Linked DNA regions of Tamandua tetradactyla. The protein of the gene in region 1 interacts with the protein of each later gene in a biochemical or structural test. Links are inferred from orthologs where the notes say so. Each region holds a gene or a part of one and is shown in the gene's direction. Other genes may lie near its edges.

Evidence for each region. The genes of interacting proteins can lie anywhere in the genome.
Region 2: the proteins of TRIM21 (region 1) and UBE2W are reported together in a solved structure, tested with the Homo sapiens proteins (2 studies listed by BioGRID, with this or other methods). The link is inferred for Tamandua tetradactyla from reciprocal best matches to the Homo sapiens genes TRIM21 and UBE2W.

The regions. Positions count from the first base shown.
Region 1 is NC_135334.1:75,426,373-75,434,916, reverse strand, and holds the start of TRIM21 (E3 ubiquitin-protein ligase TRIM21), read left to right. Parts: upstream 1-5,484; 5' UTR 5,485-5,689; coding exon 5,690-5,699; intron 5,700-6,931; coding exon 6,932-7,386; intron 7,387-7,865; coding exon 7,866-7,961; intron 7,962-8,544. UniProt on the Homo sapiens protein: E3 ubiquitin-protein ligase whose activity is dependent on E2 enzymes, UBE2D1, UBE2D2, UBE2E1 and UBE2E2.
Region 2 is NC_135332.1:117,669,365-117,677,300, reverse strand, and holds the start of UBE2W (ubiquitin-conjugating enzyme E2 W), read left to right. Parts: upstream 1-4,491; 5' UTR 4,492-4,611; coding exon 4,612-4,626; intron 4,627-7,936. UniProt on the Homo sapiens protein: Accepts ubiquitin from the E1 complex and catalyzes its covalent attachment to other proteins.

The DNA.
Region 1 (8,544 bases):
CCTAAAAATTGAGAGAGATTGGAATGATATCTTAATTTCTACCACCATATACAGGCCATTCCTTATCTGATTTTGCCTCCTGTATAAATATTTTCCTGCTCCTCAGGGAAGCATCAGAGAGTAAAACCTGGAAGACTGGTCACAAAAATGAGCATGAATATTTTTCAAAACACTTCTCTATCACGATGAGAATTATACTTATTATTGCTTACTGTTCTTCTACCAGAACTTACTATAGTGCCTCAGGTTTAGCAAATATTTGTTAAATGAACAAATGCATGAATGAATGAAGTATGAGTAGAATTTTTTGATGTTTAAGAATATGCCATGTAAGAATTAAACAAAGAGACTTGAAAATATAAATGAAATGGATTTTTTTCTGGCAAGATTTAAATTACTAAAATTGGATTAAGAGGAGTCCTGGATAATCATTAGATATAGAAAAACTAAAAAGAGTAGTTAAATCTAAAAGGTTAACCCTTCGTGAAAAGATAGTCCAGAAACAAAATCTGTCCTACAAAGCGAGACAGGAAACAGATTGGCCATCTTCTTAGCTCTGTGATGAAAGTAAAACAAATCATCCCTGGAAAATCCATAACCAGAAACCTGCCATCACTTGAATTCTGGGACTGAATTCACATTATAAGATTCTAAAATCCTCAAGCAACTAATTTAGTTTAAAATGCTACTGGACTACTGGTGCTGCCAGACCATAAAAGAAGCAAATGCAATAAGTACACTAAAAGACCTGAAGATATTACACAGCATCCAGCACAAAAGTGAACTTCTCTCCTGCCTCCTATTTCCCATTGGCTAATATTCACTCCACAGGGACCTGACTCCCCACATTTTTTTGGTCATATCATTTGGGCCCATGATAGCTGCTAAGAAATCTGATCCTATGCCCTGTAGTGTGATGTTTCATCCAAGTTCCAGTATATGTGTATGTAGTGATGGCCCAGCACCAGCAGATGCTAAGAATAAAAGATAGGGTCAAGAGACTCTGAAATGGCAAATAAGACTGGTGTCCAATACAGATCACCCTGAAAAAGAGGGATGAAGGGAAATCTTTCCAATGGGAAGAGCTTTCAAGCAAATGATTATTCCCTTCAGATCTATATATAAACTGATAACCTGACAATTTTGAACAGATAGGATTATCTGAGATTGATGATAAAGAGGTATGGGGAGAAGTATGTGTTGAACTTCTAGAAAACAGTCCAGAGTACAAAAATATGTTTGTCCCATGTGAATACCTACCAAAAAGTATCCAATGCAGAGAAGGCAATCTATCAGGTAGATAGATGATCAGCTTCTGTCCCAGCCACCTGTTGCTTGTTCAATGGACTCAGGTACAAGCATCCAAATCAGTAGTGGAAAAAGATAAGCCTTGGTGAGGTAAAGTCTATGCTATTTACCTCAGATACATCCTCTATCCCTGCTGCTATAGATACCTGAATATGAAAAGTCAACTCTGAGCCCAACTTTTCACTATTTCTAGGAGGGTGTAGATAATCTTCTAGTGGAAGATTAGTTATATTGAACCAAAAGAAATTTGTTGTTATGAAATAGGTATATATTCCAAAGACAGTTTTATTTTTCCCATCTATAATGCTTCTGCCAGCACCACCACTTTTAGACTTACACAATCAGGGTACCCCAAGCATACTTACAACTGATTTTACAGACAAAGAATTCTGATATTGGGCTTGCTGTATGGAATGCACTGGTTTTACAGTGTATCCCATCAGCCAGAAGCAGCTGGCCCAATGAAACTGTGGAATGGCCTGCTGAAGGCTCAGCTATGGCACCAATTTGGAAACCCCACCCTGTAAGAATGATGGCGATTCCTATACATTCTGGTACATGCTTAAAATCAGCAAGCAATATGTGGTAACTTTTTGAAACGTATATCCAATATGTACACATTGGTCAAAGAATCAAGGGAAGGAGGTGAAAGTGGCCCGTGTTTCTATCACATTAATAACTCATTTACAAAAAACGGATTAAAAATTTAAAAATAGGGGTGACAAAGGTTAAAATAAATTGACTAGATGGAAATACTAGTGGTCAATGAGAGGGAGGGATAAGGGGTATTGTCTGTATGGGTTTTTTCTTTTTTCTTATTTGTTTTTCTGGAGTGATGCAAATGTTCAAAAAATGATCATGGTGATGAACAAGCAACTATGTGATGATATTGTAAACCATTAATTGTTCACCATGCGTATTAGTTACGGTTCTCTAGAGAAACAGAATCAACAGGAAACATTCACAAATATAAAATTTATAAAAGTGTCTCACAAACCACGGGAATGCGGAGTCCAAAATCTGCAGGGCAGGCTGTGAAGCTGACGATTCCAATGGAGGGTCTGGACAAACTCCACAGGAGAGGCTTGCCAACTGAAACAGGAACAGAGCCTGTCTCTTCTGAATCCTCCTTAAAAGACTTCCAGTGATTAGATCAAGCATCAGTCATTGCAGAAGACACTCCCCTTGGCTGATTACAAATGGAATTAGCTGTGGATGCAGCTGACGTGATCATGACCTAATCCTATGAAATGTCCTCATTGCAACAGACAGGCCGGCGCTTGCCCAACCAGACAAACAGGTACCACCACCTGGCCAAGTTGACACATGAACCTGACCATGACACCATGTATGGAATGTTCGTATGTTAAGTTTTACCAATTAACATATTTTTTAAAATTTAAAAAGTAACTCATTTACAGAATATTTCCTTTTAGTCTCCACAACATAGTACTCTGCCGGTTTGTAGGTCCCTAGTAAATAACAGAGAAGCCCTTCCACTAGGGAAAGCAAACCTGATTGCAATCATTGGAATCTGCCACTGTTCCCTGCCTATTTGGAGTTTCTTAAACCACTGATGACAGAGTAGAGGGTTCCTACAAACTGACTGGAATGACATCCCTACTATCAAGGAAAACTTGGGTTGCTGGTACACAGTGGGGCAAGGAGGACTGGCTGGACCTATAACCCAAGGTATATGGTGAAGAGATTCTTATTCTCATCAAGTAACAATGGTCAGTGTGCTAAAGACAACGTGTGCTAATGCGATAAGGCAAGAACATGAAGGATACTGCTCCTTCAAGACCAGAGATTCACGTGCCATGTTAAGAACAAACTGAAGTACTGGCAGTGACAAGAATTTGGAACGGGTGGTATAAGAAAAGCTATTATTATCAACTTTGCCTTAATCTCCACCTTGGTAATGGGTATAAGATCAGTGTTTAAAAGTTTGTTAAAGTTTATCTGGGCAACAAACTACTCCAGAATCCAGGAGCACCAACCCAAAAGTGGCAAATAGCTCCAAGAAGGGAGCGGAAATTGGGAACCTATATACAGTAAGTCTTTCTGATTTGATAGCTAGGCTACATTGCCTTATTTGAGCTGTTCCCGATGGAATGCCCCACCCTAAGGTGACTATTTCTGATTGGCTGGCTTTACTGCCCTGCCTACCACTGACTTTATGTTGAAAGGCTGCCCCTCCCAAGTTTCCATCATGTTACTTGGGTTTGTGGATAAGGTATTGGCCAAGGCTACTCCGCCTCTATTTTATTTTAGTAAGATGATAACATCTGTTTTGCCAGTTGATTTGTGTGCATAGTATTGAACAAGCACCAAAATAAACCTGTGGTGTATATATTAATATCCCTGCTTAATAGATGAATAAGCTGAAGCTCAGAATAATGAGCACCCAGGAAATAAATAGCAAGATCAGCACTGAACTCACATCTGCTCTATTTTGAGCCCTAAGCTCTTTTCATACACCTCCCAACAGTGGTTTACTCAATTCCTGCAGGAAATCACAAAGAATGCATTGAGGTGAAGCAGAATCATTTTGTGAGTGTCTGCAAATTCAAATACTGGTCGCTTTTTCTTTTTTTTTTTTTTTAACTCTTTCATTCTGCTTGAACACTAGATGTCACTTGAGAGCCTTTCACTTATACATTCTCTTACAAACAGAACTGGAAAATTTAAAGCATGAAGTGTTTTTAGGATTCCTAAATCTATTGTACAGATGAAGAGAAGCTTCACTGATGTTTTTACCTTACGTTATACAGCGACAAAACACACACACACACAGAATGAACTGGAAGAAATTTAGAATTCTTCTAATCTCACCATTTCCTCACCTTCTTTTCTACTTCCTCATCTGCAGTTTGTGACCACACCCTAACCAACCCTCCCTGCAGCCTCTGCTTCAACTGCCAGGGCAGCCAGTTATCTCTGGGCTGTCACTAAAATGAGGATCTTTTCTAGACTGTTAACTCTAGTGCACTTTTGCTTACTACGTCACTCAAGCAAGTCACTCCACTCAGCTTCATTGTCCTCCCTGAATATGAGAATAATAATCCTCACTTGCTAAATTGTTGTGTAAACTACAAAATATACCTGCTTCCTGAGCCACCGTGGCTCGCCCTCAAAGTTCTCCCCTGCCATGCTGGAGACCTGGGTTCAATTCCTGGTGCCTGACCATGCAAAAAAAAAAAATATATATATATATATATATATATAACCTGCTAAAATCCCTACCTCGGTGACAAGAACACGGTGGTCCTCAATACATGTTAGTTTTCTTCTTGCCACTCACTGGTATGATATCTGCTTGGCAGTTGGGCAGAATAAATCTCTTACCCCAGATGTTGAAAGAATATCATGTTTTGGGAAAAGGAATTCATTTATGGAAGCAGGAAGCAGGTAGTGGTATATAACAGGGAGTGCCAGGCCCTTTTAGGAGCAGCACCCAGATGCAGACACAGCATTTATATACAGGAAGGTGACCAGTGCCAAAGAAAGCACATTTGGGTAGATTTATTAATTTATCACCAAGTCTTCTTTCCCAGACAGCCAAACTGTATAACCAAATCTGCTTTCCACGGTACCCGACCCTTTTCCTATCCCCCCAGCTCAGACCATAGGAATCCACAGAAGTTAGTGTCTCTAATGCTCACTGGAAGGAAGACAGTAGAAACCACGTCAGATCGGCCTTTCTGGGTGCCCAGCTCCTGCCTTACAGCCGAGTAGGGGACAGTTTCCCCCCAGAGCAGCTTATGACACTGCTCTAGAGTGTGCAGTTGCACTGGAGGGAAGAGGGCCCATAAGCCACAGGAAGAGAGTAATTGCAGACCTCGGAATTGGGAGGGAAACAGCCTCAGTTGCACAGAGCTGGGAGGGGGAAATGTGAGAGGGGCCCCTAAATTAAATTAATGGGAACGAGCTTGCACATAGGATGAACTGCTGCTGAACTTTCTCCAAGAAGCCTGAATCTGGCATTGTCAGAAACCTTCTTACGTTCTCCCCCGGCCCAACTCCTTTCACTTCCCTACCTTCCCTTCTTCACTCCTCCTCCTGCCCCGCCCCTCTCCGTTTCCATCTCCTCCCCGCCCATTTCTCCGCCCACACTCCTCCCCTGGGTTTTTTTTTTTTTTTTTTTCTGACTTGCCGCTTAGAGGAAATCGAAAGTGAAATTGATAAGCGCCTGCCGTCCAGTGACTACCCTGTTAAAGTGAGTTAATTTGGCCAGATTAAGGTGCCCGACCCTCCCTGGGGGCTGTTCTCCCTCCCCTTACCCAGATTTGAAGATTCTCTTCCAACCCGAGAGCCTTCTATCCGAATTGTCCTTTCTCTGCTCCTGACTTGATTGGACCCAAGCCCAGAACTTATTCCCATGCTGGACAGTGAGTATGATTTGTACCAGGAAGAAGCTGGGGCTACCCTGATGCTGACGCCAGATCTGGGAGGGGGCAGGTGAGGGTGGAAGAGCTGGGTCCTAGTCTAGCCTGCCGGGCGGCTGGGGAAACCCAGCATGAGGTATGGAGCCTTCCTTGAAGCTGAATGTTTTTTCCTCCCATCCCCCCACTTGCTCCTTGCTGGTTCAAGACCGAGCTGGCCTATACCCAAATGAAGACAGGAAGGTTTGCAGTTGCTCAGAGGAGTCCCTGTCAGGAGCCCCTGCCTGCTCCTCCTCACACCCTCAGTACACCCAGGGGCCACCCCTTCCCCAGCAGCTCAGGGGACACTCCACATCCCTGTTCCTCAATAGCAAAATCCCTAAATTTCTTCCTCCTCTATGTATATGACTCCTGCCATTATTGTAATGATTAATGAAGATGTATGCAAAGCGTGGAGCACATTCTCTGGCACACGGAGGATGGAAGGGCCATAGTAAATGGTATCTGTTATAATGATGAGCTTCTCAGCAAAATGGAGGGCTGGTGGGATAGGAGAAGATGGATAGAAAAAGCCTGAGCACTGAAGGGAATCTTTATAATAAATCACCACAAGAATTTCCAAAGTGACAGTTGGTGGAAATGGTCCTTGTGTGAAGCTGGAGACCCCATGGCCTGAGCCCCATACTTCAGCAACCCCTTCCTGGACCTCCCCGCCAACCAAATACCTAGTGGGCACACCTCAAATAGAGAAGGTGATATAATTAAATGAGTTCATCCCTCAGCCCCAGGCTGGGCACATAGTAAACCATCAGGAGTTGTTTTTTTGTTTATTTTATTTTACATAGGCAGGCACTGGGAATCAAACCCGGGTCCTCTGGCATGGCAGGCAAGCATTCTTGCCTGCTGAACCACCGTGGCCCACCCTTGTTTTGTTTTGTTTCACCTTCTTTATCATTCCATTTGAAGGACTTAAGCAACGATAGACATGGTGAAAGAATTTTAAACAGCTTTATCTTTGAGGTTCTAGACAATTTCCTCTCCCTCTTTTGTGGACTCAGTTTCCCCTTCTTTCTAACTATATCAACAGACCAGACTATGGAGGAGTCTTTGTTATTTAGGTTGTTCTCATCTTTCCTATTTTCACCCCCTCCAGTTCACTCCCCCTTATAGTTTCCTTTGAATCATTTTTATTTCCCATAACCCCTCTCTTCTTTCCTTTTTTTTTGTCTCCCCAATAGTCCCAAACAAGATCTCTGTGCTGCTGCTTAGCAGGGACGTTACCTCCATGGCCTCAGCAAAGCCCCTGGCAATGATGTGGGAAGAGGTCACGTGCCCTATCTGCCTCGATCCCCTAGCAGAACCTGTGAGCATTGAGTGCGGCCACAACTTCTGCGAAGAATGCATCTCTGAGGTGGGGAGAAACGGAGGCGCTGCCTGTCCCGTGTGCCGGAAGAAATTCCTGCTCAGGAACCTCCGGCCTAACAGGCAGCTAGCCAACGTGGTGGACAACCTCCGGCAGATCAACGTAGATGCCAAGGAGGGCACAAAGGGGGACCACTGCGAGGTACATGGAGAGAAACTTCACCTGTTCTGTGAGGGAGACAGGAAAGCCCTTTGCTGGGTGTGTGCCGAGTCCCGGAAACACCGCGATCACCCCAAGATCCCTATTGAAGAGGCTGCTCAGGATTACCGGGTAAGGCATTCACCTGGAGGCATGGACAGATGGGAAGGAGACGCTCCCCAGAGCAGGGGATGAACAAGAAGTACCCCTGGAGTTGACTGGTTGGGGAAAGGAAGGTTATTCCATGCCTAATATACCAGGGGAAATGCAAACTAAGCACAATCTTCTCAGTCCCCAGGAACAGGGACTGTGCTATGGAAAAATGCTGCAAGAATCACGTTTCCTTGTGGCTTCCCGGTTAATTAGGAACTAGTAACGCCTCCGCCCCCGCCCCCACCCCCGCCCCCACCCCCGTGACTCCAACAGTGTAGCTCTATTCCGCAAGCAAAGATCAGGCTTTTGCTCAAGTCCTTCCATCTGCAGAACTCCTACCCCACTCAGACTCTAGTACCCAGGCCTTTCTAAGAACCAATCTGAACCTCCGCATCCCACAGCGCCCCCCCTACACTTCCTGGTCTGTTTGGGGACTAACTTGCTGTCTTCCTCTCCAGGAGAAGCTCCAGGACGCTTTAGAGAAGCTGAGGAAAGAGCAGGAGTTGACTGAGAAGTTGGAAGTGGATGTTGCGAATAAGAGAACAGCCTGGAAGGCAAGAATCATGCCCTAAAACGGACCTGAGATTAGAAGCCTGGCAGGATCTAAGATCCTGGGCTCAGTAAGGCCCTAAGCACAGCTGTCTGAACAGTGACAGAGTAGGGATACGTCACTCTACAAAAACCAACCATCCTCAACTGGTGGAGGTAAAAAAGACAGAGGCTAGAAGCAGAGGCCTAATCAGACACAAATCTTGACAGTTCATGGGAGACTATGCTGAGGAGGACAAGTCATACCCCAAAGACCCCTGCACCTCTGAGCCCAGTCCCTGGCAAAGGGGTGCGTGTGAGAGGGTAGCACCGCTGCCTCTCACTGACAGAGGTATCTCAGAAGAAAAGCCCAACAGCTATGCTTCTTTTTTTTTTTCTCTCTCCAAATCGGAGTAGATATTTTAATGAAAGCAATGGTCCTGCCATTCTTTATTTCTCATAATACATATTTACAGAAAAGACTGTCCGTTTTAAATTTTTATAATTATACAACTTTTTGCAGTTGAATCAAACAATGGACATCTCAGTAACTTTTTAAAGCAGCTTCAATGTATGTGTACAACTTATGTGATGGACATTGAATAATTG
Region 2 (7,936 bases), on another chromosome or scaffold:
TCTGCCTCCCAAATCAGAGCTTTTCACACAGTATCCTGTCTTCACTAGAAATCAAACAAGCAAGCAAAAAGAAAAAGAGTATTATGAAATTACTATTTCTACATAAAAGATAGACAGGTTTTGGAAGAGACCGACCTAGCATCCATTGTTAACTTTTCCCTAAAAATGTTCTTGAGGTTCTCGAACCTCTGCTATGGAGGAACTTCATCAGGCCAAGGAACTCCCTGAAATACATTTCACTGATAATACATAGTTTTCTGTGGGGGTGCGTGTGGGGGCAGATGGGTGGGTCCATGGCTTTCACCTGATTTTAATGGGGTCCAGAGCAGAAAGAAAAAAAGCAAAAGGAACTACTGTACAGCTATTCAACTAATACATCGCTAAGAATATGTCTGGAAAGAAGTCTGGGGGAGAAATAAGCAAGGAATATGCTAACGGCTGCAGGTCTGGGTCAAGAACTCTTCCTAGAGAGAGGTAAGGAAAGGGGAGAAAGTGAAGTCCTCCTGATTCACAATTTTATCTCCAAACCCATGCATGCATGTAAATAAACTATTTTCACATGGAGAATAAGTCAGATTAAGTTACACATACAAACCATTTGTTATTTTGTTAATTTTCTTCATCTTTTATTGGGAGAGTCATATGACCGGCTTTGGTTCAAAATTATAAAAAATAATACAAATGCTTTGCAGACATGCTTTTCTTAAAGTGTCATTATAAATAGTGAATTTGGAATTTTTGCTACTTTATGAAATCTCATCTAGAGGCTCAATTGGAATATATTAATATTAAAAAATTGTTAACTAAACCCCCCCACCAATATTTCTACATAAATTACAATGAAGCAAAATTCATTCCTTATCATTTACAAAAGGTTTTTTTAAAAACTCAAAACAGTATATCATTCCGATTGCATTTTCTCTCAGACTTCTTTAGCATGGTATTTTGTACAGAAATCATTTAAAATTTTTATTCCCTTTAATAGATACATGGAATTTGAAATATGGAAGGAACCTTAAAGATTATGCAGTCTGACTTGTCTGACTTGCTAATTTTATTGATAAAGAAATAAACCCAGAAAGAGCCTTACCCAAGCTTGTTGATGATAGATCTGGGGCAAAAAATATGAGACTTGGATTAGTTTGGTGACTTTTTTTCTTTTTTTTTTTTGTCATTTTGAAATAATTTTGTTATTATTAAAAGGATTATACATGCATTTTCAAAATATAGAACACTCAAAAGATCAGAAATAAAAAATTAAATATCACAATATTAAGTTTAGTGCCTTTTCCAGCATCCAATAAATAAGCTGTTGATTGCTGAATGCCTCCATTTCTCTGGTAAGATCATAAACTAGAGGACTATGAATAAACTACTCTGCGGAGATATACACTCAAGCAGGGACTCATCAACTCTGACTCTTCATGCTCCAACAAGCACATCCTCAAAGCACTGCCCCAGACTCTCCAGTCCAGTGAATCACCACAATTCAAGCACTCATAAATTGCACTGCATCATCAATATTGCAGCATTTACCCAGTGGTCTCACAATGTTACTACTGTGCATATCCTGCCTTTTTTTTCCTTCCAGGGAGGTGGAGGCAGAAGCAATGTGTGAGACGAAGGAAAATCCTATTCATGCAACCTGATGGTCATTTCTAATTGCCACGGAAATTTTTTTTAAAATGTCATTATCAAATCTAAGAAAAATAACAATTCTTTAATATCATGTAATATCCATTCTGAGCTAACATTTCCTCAGTTGTCTCAAAAATGTCTCTTTATAGTTGGCTTGTATCACAAATGATGTATGCTGGTTTGAATTTGTTGCCAGAAAAGCCTATGTTCTTTTAATCCATCCTTGTGGGTGCAGACTTGTTGTTGAGTGGGACCTTTTGATTAGGTTGTTTCCATGGAGATGTGACCCCCCCAATTCAAGATGGGTCTTAATCATCTTTACCACTTCCTTTATAGGAAAGTAAAAGGCAAAAACATTTTGGAGAGCGCTCAGAGACAGAAATGCCCTGGGAAGGGCAAGCAAGGACAGACAGAAGCTATCAGAGACATTTTGGAGAGAGAGACCAGCAGACATTGCCATGTGCCTTCCCATGTCACAGAGGAACCCCGGATGCCATAGGCCTTTCTTCAGAGTCAAGTTATCTTTCTCTGGAAGGACATTTTCATGGCCTTAGAACTGTAAATTCGTAACCTAATAAATCCCCTTTGTAAAAGCCAATCCATTTCTGGCATATCGCACTCTGGCAGATTTAGCAAACTGAAACATGATGCTATTAAAAAGATTCTTTAAGGACAGTGGAAACTTCAACTTCCCTATTGCTGAATTGTTTTTTTAAAGTGACTGTACCAATATATTTCCTACAGAGTTTATGATAGTTCCACTTCCTTTCTCATTTTTAGTTTGTCAGACATTTTCATTTTTGCCTGATATTAAGTCCCGCTCTGTCAAGAAGTGAAATGCATTATATAACCAATGAGATGCACTACATAAATATAAAAAATTCATGCTCCCTGGGGATAATTATATACCTCTCTTCCATCTGAAAGTCATGTTTTTTAGCTCCTGTGTGCATAAGGACCTTTCTATTATGTTGATGAGGGAATGAAGATATTGCAGGTAATCATGTGCTATTTAGTATTTGCTAGCAAGGATATGACTGATACTGACTTTTCTTCCCCTTTGAAGGTTGTTCTAACACATATAAAACCCAAGCAACCAAAAAAAAAAAAAAACCAAAAAAACCCCCCACGGAACCAGATGTTGGTTCTACTATAAAGAGTAGGATTCCAGTAGCCTCTTTTCTTCCTTATTAATACCTGTCATGGCAGGTTGTTGGCTTTGATGATGCCATAATGCTTTGTTTGTGGAGTCATCTGATGTCACTTAAAGCTTTAGGAAGAATCAGCTTTTTTTTAAAGAATCAGCTTTTAAACAAAGTGAACCTCAGATGGTAAAACCTGATCTTCCAGAGCAATTCTCTGAGAACATGGGGATGAAGAATTCTAGAAGAAAACACACCTGGGGACTTTTTCCACGGGGCTTTCCTCTTTCATTGGCATGTAGGTTTTACTCACTGTTGTAATGTTAACAAAGTAATTGGCTTAACACTTGATATGTTCCTGGATGATTCCTGGGTGTCAAAAGCATCCAAACATTCTCAATGACACATTTTTTTTGTGCAACAAAGGAAAACCCAGACCATTTCTGATCATAGGGTGGAAATCTGACAGACAAATGAGTACACCAATAAACCTTTCCAACGATGAAGAACACTGTGGGTTTAATATTATACCATAGAAGGTGTGGTATATTTTAAAGATTTTTTTTCGTTTTTGAACACATTTCAAACTACAGAACATAATCCATTTGAAAGAGTGCAGAGGATGACATTCTACACTGCTCTTATATTTGGATTTTAAATTACAGAAATTTCAAAAAAGCGACTCAAAATAACAGACTTCAAACTTTCATTCTGGTAAAAAGCCTTCTAAAAAAATGTTATCAGCCACCTTAATTTTTTAGCGATAGAACACGAGGTATAAGCCTTTTGCTTCCACTTTCCTCTTACAAATCAGTGACACTTCAGTTTTGGGATAGCGCTTCAAAACGTGGCTTCTCATAAATGTTGGCAGAACTGGAGCATTCCTAGAATAAATTATGTACACGTTCCCTACCCAACACATTCCTAGATTGGACTACCATGAAAGTTAGGTTGAGAGAAAATTCCGGATGCGACAGGTCTAAGTGCATATTATACCTAGACGCTGGTATATGCACACATATATATATTTTCACGCCCAGGGCCAAATCTCTAGGCAAACTGCCATAGCAACCCTAGCTATGGATACATATGCACTTTAAAACTGAGGGGGTGGGGTACGGGAGTGGAAATCACACACGAACAGAAGAAAAACTGCATATTTTTCTCGCCTCTCTGTCGTTTTACTTTTACAAATGCAAAATATCTTTGCCTTTAAAACATCAGGGTGTTATCTCTGCTCTCTATTCTGTGTCTCTTTCCCAAATTAGGAATATGAGAAGCCTTCCAGGTTGGTCAAGGAAAAAAAAAAAAAAAAGCAGACCCGCAGAGAGTTCTATCAAGCCCAGCGGTATCAACGGAGTGGAAAGACATTCAAGGGGGAAAACCTGTAAATCTTACACCTGTGGTTGGAAAAACTAAACGAATCAGAAAAACCCACCGATCCGCTCATCACCAAGATCTCGGGGCATAGACGGAAAAAGCAATACCACGGCTTGGCGGGCCAGAAGCCGGTGTACGCTTCTTCAGCGCTCTGGCTAGGGGTGGACTAGAGCGGACGCCGACTAGCCGGCAGCAATCTTCAGCACCTACAACGCCGTTTACCGCGCCCCGCCCCTGCCCTCCCCTTCTCACCCTTTTCCGCCCCCGCCCTTCCCCTCCCTCGCCCCTCTGGGTGCCCCCGCACCAACCAATCCGGTCGCTCCGTCTCCTCCCCATTGGAGGCCACACACCCCCGAGCCCAGGATGCTGGGCCCCCGCGGCGTGACGCGAGCACGGCAGCTCCGCCCCCTGCGTCTCAGGCCTCGCCGGCCCTGGGGGGGATGGTTCCATCATGGCGTCAATGCAGGTAAGAGGAGTTTGCTGCATCTGGGCGGGCGAAGGAGCCGCGGAGAGGGTGTGAGCCTTCGGCCCAGGGTGCCGCCCAGGGCTTGAGGAGTATCCGTGCGGCTCGGGAGCGGCCCTTATGGCCGGTCTTTCCCCAGCTTCGGGGAGGAGTGAGAAGCAACGAGAGGAGGGCGGAGGGGGTATCTCGGTCGGTCGAAGCGGACACCAGCCGGCCGGGAAGTTGGGGGATGAAGAAGGGCTAGGGGAGGAAACGGCGAAGTTTGGCGTTTGCATTGCGGCTGTGGTCTTGGAATCGCCTCCTCCCTCACCCCCACAACACAAATGGTCTGAGTCGACCGCCGGCCTGCCCACCCAAGAGATGCCTTTTCCTTCGCGGTTCCCAGCCGGGCGGAAACAGCTGTTCTCGCCGTTGTCGCCTGGGCAGCGGCAGCCCTGAGAAGGGCTGAGACTGAGGGAACTGAAAAGGCGTTCCCGCAGAAGGCGGCTGCTTGCTCACTGGGCTTTGCGGCCTCGGCTCAGGCCTCCCACGCCAGGACTCCCTGACTGCTCGGCTCCTCAGCTCTCCTCCCGTGTAATCCCTTGCCGGCTGGGTACCCTCTTCTCTCTGTCTCTGCATTCACACTGATACTACACTCCTGCCGTCCACTTTCTCACTCCCTTATCCCCAAAGCTGCCCTTGGTTCCATTAACTTCTTTGGCTTCCTAATTTGCGATCTTCCCGAGGGCGGGGAGTCACTAGCCCCTTTTATTATACCTCTTGGGATAGCTTGCCCTAGAATAATTTTTTTTCCCCTGCGATGCCCCACCCTTGCGGTCGCGGTAAGGCTATACAGCCCTTTGCCCTTTTCCCCAGACTTTTAGTGGAACCTTTGGTTTGGTAGGAGATTGTTAACCTGTATTTTATCTGTCTTGGCAGTGCGTGGTTTTTGTTTTTTTTTTTTTTTTTTGGCTTTCAAACTTAATTTACTCTTTTTTTTCCAAACCCAAAGAGGAGTTTGGGTTTCCAGGCAAAGATGGCAACCACAGTTGTAGTTTTGTAGAGATTTGCCTGCATTATCTGTAGCCTGCATTTGTTTCATAGATTAAGATGAGTGGTGTCAAAACGTATGGGAAGAGAAGGTAGAATTCCTTTTAGGGCTGTCCACCGAATGCTTTTTAGAGTTTTAAAAACGTTCCCTAAATGAAGAAGGAGATCACAGTTTTCTTAGAAGGATTTTTTTGTTTGTTTCAAAAGAATAAGCAAGTCTCTCTACTCCTTAGTTTTTCCCCCTGCTTTTCTTGGCTAAAGCAGTGTTTTTCTTCTCTCTTTTTTGCAACTTCTTCCTCTTTGTGTAGACCTCATTTCATATTTACTTTATTGCTTTTATTCCTTTTCAGTATGTTTTCTATTCTTTACCTTTGCTCCTTCCGTTGCACTTCAGAACAGAGAAGAAATTGTATATAACATTTCTGGTTGAAGAGATGTTGCAAAAAAGTGCAAGGAAAAAATGAACACAATTTCAGGAAACATACACTATCTCCCCAGAGACGTTAGAGAAGTTTCATCATTTGAAGCTAAAAAAGGAACTATGGAACGCTTCTAAGTTGAGCAGTAGATGGGCTGCATAACCAATTTAAGATTATTTGCATTAAGATTAAAACATTCGTTATAAGACTAAAAATTTAAGGTTAAAATTCATAACAGTGTTGATTGTATTTGACAGGAGAGCTTAGTATATAGGGTTGGTAACTCAAGGGATAACTGGTTAGATTTTCTAAGATTACAGTTTTTAAGAGAAAAAATGAGTTGACACAGAACCTAATGTTGATTATCTTGAATTTTATATGGGCACTTAAGCAATGGGAAAAATAACTTGCCAGTGCATTATTGCATTTTTTCTATGTCCCAAACGTTGGACTGTTTTATCACCTTTCTTTATTCCTTACTGTCTTCTGATTAGAGGAATGGAAAACTGACCCTTTCTATTTTAATTAAAATAAAATCAAGTCTTTCTCTTTTATTTGTTTTCTGGTAGTATCCTCGCATATTTTAATACAGATAAACAAGCTTTCTGAAACACTTATTTCTGTGTGTGAGCTTTTTGTGTACAGTTCTGTCTTTGATGAACAAAAAAGTTTTATTAAAACTTTAAGAGCAAAGTTTAACTCTTCAAAACAAACTAAATTACACATAAAGCTCCAACCAAATTACTAAATTTATTGATTCACTCAGCAATTATTTTTTTAGGGCTTTCTGTATGTCTAGCACTCATCTAGGTGCTTGGGGATACAGCAGTGAATAAAAACTGACGAGATGCTCTAGTCAGGGGGACAGACAATAAAATATTTGAATTTAGATTGTGTCATATTAGAAGGTGGTAAATGCTATGGAGAAAAATTAAGCATGAAAGTGGGTTAGGAAATGGGTATTTTTGGAATTTTGGTTAGGGTCTTAGGAAAAAGTATGGTATAATGTGGAATGCTGTGTTGATCATATCCTTAACTAAAAAGCTACTACATTTCTTTGTCTCACCCACACCAGGTATTACTGCTGCTAAAGAAGAGGGTATTTAAGCTGTAAGAGGAATTGTCTTTTAAAAACATATGCATATGATACAAATGTAACATGGGATTTGATTATTTGAATTGATAAGTATGGAATAAACCAAGTCAAGGGTAGACTTGATTTCTTATTGGAAAGTATGTATCTTAGAAGGTGAGGTTGTGACTGCCTTAATGCACTGTATCAGTGCTTTCCAACCATTTTTCAGGTCATGCCACACATAAAAAATAATTTTTGAATAACACACTAAGATGAATTGGTTTATTAGAGGCCTGAAAGCACCTGGTCTCACAGCTCCAGTCCCCCACCCCCACCCCAAACACCAGGAATCAGGGAAATAAATACACCAGCACACTTGTAATGCTAGGGAAGCTCTGCTATATGTTGTATTGCTAGAGTTCAATATTCATTTTGGGGTAGTAGTTTTCAGAGTTAGGTGAGCCCTTTGAGACATTCTCCTCACCCTTTTCTTCCTGTAAACAAAGTCACAAATCACTAAGTAAGATTGAGTAAGATTGGTTTGATTGTGTTTTAAAAAAACATTCATAAAGAAGTGTAATTATGGTGATATTTAATGTTGGCAGGAGTTAGACTAAAGAAATAGATCTATACTTAATTCTGGTATTCCTAGAAACAAATGGAAGATTTGTTTTAGTTTGAACATATTAGGGACTTTATTTGGTACAGTCTTTCTGTCCCCACACTGCAAAACCATTTCATAAAGGTGAATTTTTATATACTTCTAAACATTTCTTAGACGTGCAGCAGT